2 linked regions of the Danio rerio genome follow. The protein of the gene in region 1 purifies or fractionates together with the protein of each later gene. This does not show direct contact. Links are inferred from orthologs where the notes say so. Each region holds a gene or a part of one and is shown on either strand. Other genes may lie near its edges.

What was found.
Region 2: the proteins of plrg1 (region 1) and xab2 purify together in Homo sapiens (affinity purification with mass spectrometry; 3 studies listed by BioGRID and IntAct, counting the BioPlex papers as one, with this or other methods). This does not show direct contact. The link is inferred for Danio rerio from reciprocal best matches to the Homo sapiens genes PLRG1 and XAB2.

The regions. Positions count from the first base shown.
Region 1 is NC_133176.1:27,248,519-27,252,485, reverse strand, and holds the start of plrg1 (pleiotropic regulator 1), read right to left. Parts: upstream 2,801-3,967; 5' UTR 2,703-2,800; coding exon 2,694-2,702; intron 2,506-2,693; coding exon 2,399-2,505; intron 1-2,398. UniProt on the Homo sapiens protein: Involved in pre-mRNA splicing as component of the spliceosome. Component of the PRP19-CDC5L complex that forms an integral part of the spliceosome and is required for activating pre-mRNA splicing.
Region 2 is NC_133178.1:55,865,549-55,869,048, forward strand, and holds part of xab2 (pre-mRNA-splicing factor SYF1), read left to right. Parts: coding exon 1-73; intron 74-1,927; coding exon 1,928-2,092; intron 2,093-2,452; coding exon 2,453-2,597; intron 2,598-2,678; coding exon 2,679-2,830; intron 2,831-2,932; coding exon 2,933-3,052; intron 3,053-3,500. UniProt on the Homo sapiens protein: Involved in pre-mRNA splicing as component of the spliceosome. Involved in transcription-coupled repair (TCR), transcription and pre-mRNA splicing.

The DNA.
Region 1 (3,967 bases):
CGTATGCTTTCACCCATGAGAGGAGTGGGCGGGTCTGCGACCAGCTCCTCCATGGCTGCAGGACCAGATGGCTGCCCACCCTCATCGCACTACATCCATATCCCCTGTTCCCATCCCAGTTGTCAATGTTGTGTCTTGTCTGTGTGCTTTCTTGTGCTAGATGGGCTGTTTTTCTCCGTCTCAATTTGCTCTAATCAAGAGCAAAGTTTAGAGGGTATTTTTTGCCTAACCCTCCTGATGCATCTTGCCTTTCTAAATGCTACCTCCTGTGACCTGTCTTCCCCTGAAAATTGTGATGTTTGTGTACGGTCAAATTTCACAATACGAAAGTGTATGTGACAAATAAAGGCCTGATTTGATTTGATAAAGCCTAGACAAACAAGCCATCAGTATATTGTAAACCGATGGGTTTAAATATTCCTTTCCAGTTATCAAAGAAATATTTTGTTCCTTCATTTTAGTTTTGTAACTATTAAATTGTTTTAAATTCAAAATTGTAATATATACATCACTGTAAAATCCTATAAATGGTTATCTCTACAAAAGATGTCTGTACAGGCGTACCTGTTCCAGACAAAATCTCTTCAAAGTGTTTCATATTAAACTCAAATCAAATGCGGCACCGCACACACTGTTTGCTCGAGTGTAAAGAAAAAAAACTATTCCCGAAATCATGTTGTACGCACCCAAACCTCCGCAAACTCCGCTACGATGTCACATTGGCTGCGCCTACTCAATCGAACTAGCTTAATTTTAATTATGTTCCAGAGAATGATAAAAATGATAAAGCTCTAGCATTTGACAAAGGACAGCTTCCAGAATGTTTCCAAGTTCAGTGTTGGATTCGGCTAAAACTCCTCCAAAGAAGCAGAAGTTGCAACCATAATAGACAAAACTGATATTTATATTTGTTATAATTGATCTACTACATGCACAGTTTCTATCATTAACGGTATGCTGAAGCAAAGACACAAACAAAAATGTAAACAATGGGAAATGCTGTAGGGCACTACTAACAATTTGGCTACAAATTCATATTTGTCCATCAAACCCTTGTAAACAGCCACAATCTTTACCACGCTGCAGTGTCTATGAGGTCGATTTCCCTGTGTTCTACATCTCAGACAACAAACTCGCAAAAGATATGTGAAAGTTTCATATTACTTACACATGCTTATTCCGGATATATGTGAAAGACACTTGTCAGGTTTTATTTTAGAGAACGGGCGTGAGGTTCAGCTGTGTCCTTTTCTTTTTCTTTCTGATTCAGGCTCAAACTGATATGACTAACAGCTAAACTGATTGACAGTATTTACACAAGCAAAGGCACAGTGCATGCTATTAGAGGTGCATTTCCTGGTGACGTGGAGCCGATCTGTGAATCACAGCACATTATGTTAGCTGACCAATCAGAGCCTCTTGAGGACAGGCTTTTGAAGAAACTAGGAAATGACAGTTGTTTTCATGTTAGCTGAGTAGTTGTATATAATCAAAGTAAGATGTTCTACAAATTAAACATGAGCACACATTGCTTTGCATCTTATAAACACAACAAGGCTTAAAAATACACTCTGGACCACCCCTTTAAAAGCAGGACAGTCCAATGAAATTTGTTTTGCAGATAAGGAAATCTTGTAAAACAAGCATTGAGTAGGATCTTCACAGTGGTGATGAACAGCCTGTCAAATGCTGTAAAATGTTATTGTAAAAAAACATGGCTTTAACAAACCCTGTAACACGAGTTTATAAATCACCACCACCATTCAAAATGTCTTTTCTGCTTGAAAAGCCAGTTTGCTCAAAAATTAAAAATGATTCACCCTCCCAATTGATCCAAACTTGTCAGATTTTTTTTTAGTTGAACACAAAATAAGACATTTTGAAGAATCTTGGAAGCCGGTAGCCAATGATGTCCATTGAGGAAAAGTTGGTTTTATATCCGTACATTCTTTCAGTGATAACTTGTGACATGCTCCCTATATTGTTTACCTAGGTACTTTGATCATTCAGTCTGAAATCACATATAAATATGACTTCAAAACAACATTAGCACCATTTATTTGACTGTGAACAATACTGTATTTTGATAGTCGTGGCTGCTAATATGGTTTTCCCATTTAAAATTTGCAAAGATTACTTTAACAAAAATTATATTATTAAGGAGAAAGTCCGAATGAGCGAATACAAAACCAGCTTCACCTCAATGTGACGCTTATAATATTTTCCCTACTATGAATGTCAATGGCAACCGGTTTCCAAGATTCTTCAACATATCTCAATTAAATAGAAACGTATTAAGGTTTGGAACCATCTGAGGGTGAGTGAAAGGTCTATATCGATTTTAATTTTTAATCAACGTTGCCATACAATACTGAGAGCAAAAAGTTTGATTATTTACCTCTGCTCGTCCTGCGCTATAGGTTTGGCATGATCCGCCACAAACATATCATGAGTCCGTTTCAAAGAGCGAAACACAAGCGTGTGGACTGAGTGCTTCTGCACGTCCTGTGTGTATAAAAAAGACAAAATATCAACATCGATTAATTGATTGGATATTATAAGACGTATATGCAGATCCAAATGACCACACGTGTGGTAATACAGTAACGTTACGCCGCGTTCAATTACAGAAAAACTAAACAGATATCATTTTCAAATGAACAACGGCTAATGCAACAACAGCACAGCCTTACCTCGGTCATGTTTGGGGGTCCTTTAAAACACGACGAACTAACGCAAATAAAGAAACTTCCCAACACACCGAACAATCACAACCCGAACCAGTAGTGCAAACGTACGCACAGCTTCCGGGCGCGACAAAGCGTTTTCCGGTAGGGTGTTACGTCAGCAAGACACGACAGTCCATTAAAAGTCTTTTTTTTTTCGTATTTTATTTTTATTTTTTTATCACCAAAAAGTCAACTTATGGCCATTTACAATAAACACAACATTTACAGTATCGATGTATTTGGCTGCCAACAACTTTGGGAAGACCACATTAAACACTAAAGTTAATGACTGCTTATGGGTTCTAAACAAACAAACCAATAAATAAATAAATAAATAGATAGATAGATAAATAAATAAATAAATAAATAAATAAATAAATAAATAAATAAATAAATAAATAAATAAATAATGTAAAAAGGTCAGGCAGCCAATTTAATTTATTTCATCTGCTAGTTTTGAAAATTTAGGATGTAGTAAAAGACCTACTAGTGAGAATCCACAAGGTGGCACTATAAAATAATATACTTTTTTGCCAAGAGAAAGTGTTTTTTTTATTTACATATTTTTAGATATATGTTAAAATTTGGTATATGATGCTTTATAAATATTACAGACCTTGAAAAAAATGTTTGTTTATATATAATAATATTTAAGTGATTTTATATAGCCTAAACTTATGAAAATACCTCCAAACATATTTTTGTTCATGTTCCATAACTCTGGTCACAATTTGTTTTAAAAAATAAGAACATTTTACTAAAAATTTATATTATTTGATTTTCATCAGCTTATTTAACATTTCTTTCTTCAAGTTTATTATTATTATATAGGCTAATATTGTTTATGATTTTTTATTGTAACTAAATGCGGCCATCCCACACATTTACATGGTCCTTACCGGAATTAAAATAGCTTTTATTATGATAGTTTATTAAAGCTAAAAAAACTACTTTGTATGAAAACAAAATTAGTAGTCCTATGTAAACTGACTGACTGGGCCGCCTTGATACCTTACTCACAAGATATCAAAATATGAGGTAAATATAATATTTTCTGTGTCGTTTTTTATTGTGTGTCCTTACCATACCATACATTATTGAACTACAAAAAGAAATGTTTATTACTGTTTAATTGATGTATATTAAGATGATAGCTATCTAAACCTTGATAGCTGCCATCAACATGGCATATTTGCAATAATATCATTAAAGGATTGGTTTACTCAAAAATGAAAATT
Region 2 (3,500 bases), on another chromosome or scaffold:
AGCCGCATTACGTCTGGCTGCTGTGGTCAATGATGAAAACTTTGTTTCTAAAGAAGGAAAGTCCAATTATCAGGTCAGCAAATGACAGATTGTTACTTAAAAAAATGTATGTGTCCTGTAAATCTTGTATGTTAAAACATTACTATAGTTCAGGGTTGTTTTAGTTTTTTAACATATTTCACATCACATGATTCTTCAGAAATCATTCGATATTTGGGTTATTATTCAATTGATAGTCATATTATGTTTAGCATCATGAGTTTAGCTTTTCTCTGGAAACTTACATTTTTATTTAAAAAAAGGGTTGGGTGGTATTTGTTGTCTAAAATGATAATTGTTGTAATGTTGTGCAAGCAGACAATAGTGTCTCACTGGCAGTTTTAGTGTCATATTTAGTTATCGATCGCACCGGCACAAAAACACACTATTAAAGAGATAGTTTACCCAAAAATGAAAATTTCCACATCATCTACTCACACTACTCACACTTTTTTTCCTCTGTTGAACACAAAACAAGATCTTCTGAAAAATGTTGGAAACACACATCCCTTGACATCCACAGGGAGATTACAATATACTATGTTAATCAGTGACTGTTTTCTCCAACATTTTCAGTTTATTTTCATTTGTGTTTTTACAGAAAAAAAAACACGAACAAGTAGAGGATGAGTGTTTGAGTAAACAATCTCTTTAACTTATATAGATATTTAACTTTAAAAGATATATTTTTGCTCTATCACACAACCCTAATTACTAGGGATGTAACAGATCATGGTTGATTTGTGATTCGTACGTATCACAACCCATGGTTTGGAACACCTGTGACCAGCGGTTTTAATACTTTTTTGCTTGTAGATTTACCCGTAATTTGTAACGATCACAGAGAGATCGTCTCTCACGTCATGCAAATCACATGTATGAAAGCATTTAGGCTTTCCTGTAAAATATAATGATGACTGAAGAAGTTGTGTTAGGTTATTTGGGATGTGGTGGGTTTCTTAGGTTATTAAAGGTGTTTTCTGTCACTACTTGTTTAGCCTGCATTAATGGATTCAGTGTAAGCTGCATGATTAATTATTAAAAGATCGGGATCTTAACACCCACACAATATAAATATAAATAATGGTGATTTGCATGTTTATTAATCCTTCAAATCGCTGCATTCAAATCTGAAAACGCAAAAATCAAGAAAGAGATTGAGTGTTTAGTCTTAAGTTAGTTATGAAGTTACAAACAGTAAAAAAACAAAGAAGTACTGAGATAACAGTTTATAGTTTAGATAAAACCACTGATGATTATTAAATTCTTTACAATAAATTAATGGTAAAGATTTGCTCAAAAATTAACAGCAGCTATTACATTATTTAACCAATAGGTGGCAACAATCAGCCATCAAAAATATGCCACTGAATAATTCTTCAAAAATTACACATTTAGCAATGAAACATGACGTTTTATGAGTAAATAACTGAATCATTGAAAATAAAAAAAAAGAGAAAATCGAAAATGAGACAAAATAAAAATGGGTTGTACAAATTATAATGTTAGATTTCTATATTTAGCGTTATCAGTAACAGTAGTGGTAGGTATGTATTTTTTTTTTTAAAGTACTGAATATTTTACAGTTTATTTTTCTTCAGCTGATTATTTCTTCATTTTTATTGTAATAAAGTTACAGGTTCTAAGTTCTGTTTGTTTGAACCAACATTTCCTACAGACTGTTTTTGTAATAACGAAAAGCAAATTACAATTGTCTCTTTTCCTTATTGGCTGATCTAAAAAAATGGTCTGATCCTTGACTAAAAACCATAATGTGATCCGAATCGTGAGATTTGTGATCCGCTACACCACTAATAAATACATTTGTGAATTATGTGCAACATATTTTTCAAATTTTTGTTTTGTAAATGTAAATTTTGAATTCCAGTTGTGGCACGAGCTCTGTGATCTCATCTCACAAAACCCGGACAAGGTGACCTCGCTGAACGTGGGAGCGATTATCAGAGGAGGCCTCACTCGCTTCACTGACCAGCTGGGCAAACTCTGGTGCTCAATGGCCGATTACTACATCCGCAGTGGCCACTTCGAGAAGGTAAACCACGCGTTTAATAAAACACAAAGGACTCTATTCTAACAATCTAAGTGCAATGTCTAAAGAGGATGTCTAAAAACTCTGCGTCATTGACTTAGACCAGCTTTTTGATGGTCAATGATGTGGTTTATTTCAGTCGTCTCAAAATAGCAGGGTGCCAACAATGTGCCTTAACCTTCTTTTCAGACCAACACACCCATAAGTGCACAAAGTGGCGCAAATACTTTAGTTATTTAAACAACTTGGCACGAAACGTGAAAATGACACGTGCGCCGTTCTAAAAATAGCAAAAAAACAAAACAAAGACTCACCAATTACTTATACTCAAATTGATGACATTTTCTGTCTTGCTTCCTCAAGGCTCGAGATGTTTACGAAGAAGCCATCCTAACAGTTGTGACCGTGCGAGACTTCACCCAAGTTTTCGACAGCTACGCGCAGTTTGAGGAGAGCATGATCGCTGCCAAAATGGAGACCACATCTGAACTAGGCCAGGATGAAGACGGTGAGAGATTTTTCACAGAAGACCTTACAGGAATTGAGCCTTGACCTTGGTCTTACAGAAGTGCTTATTTCTCTACTCTAGATGACATTGACTTGGAGTTGCGGTTGGCTCGATTTGAGTCTCTTATAACTCGCCGGCCGCTTTTGTTAAACAGCGTGCTGCTGCGTCAAAACCCTCACAACGTTCACGAGTGGCACAAGAGAGTCAAACTCTATGAGGGCCAGCCTCGACAGGTCAGAACCATTACTTACATTTGAATATCTATTCATATTTGTTTTAACATTACTACTATGTTGGTGTTTTTGACGCGTCTTGTGGTGTTGTTTTTCTTGTAGATCATCAACACGTACACGGAAGCTGTGCAAACAATAGATCCTATGAAAGCCACTGGAAAGCCTCACAGTCTCTGGGTGTCCTTCGCCAAATTCTACGAGGATAATGAACAGATAGACGATGTATGTAGTTCTTGACATTGATCATTGTAGTTGATTATGGTAAATGTGAGGTTCGGTCCTTAAACTCTATTAGGCCTATCCAATCTGCTTTCAACTACATGGCGCGGATGATTGGCTGCCGTCACTTCAGCAACCAATGAGCCCACTCCTCATTGTTTAAATACCCCAGAGTTGTTTCTACTTTCAATTTACAGTGTATTAATTTACAACAGTTTTTTTTCTTTAACAAATGAAACGTTTATAGTCCACAACTACTGTATTTTAATATAACAGTTAAATCATAAAAAATTAAGTGATTGACAGTGACGTGTTATGACAAGCTATAATTTGACTTGCTTGAAATATGCAGACTTGACTTGACTTGAGTCACACAGATATTGATTTGACTTGCTTGAGACTTAAAGGTTATGACTCTAGACTTGTGACTTGCACATGTGTGATCCACCTC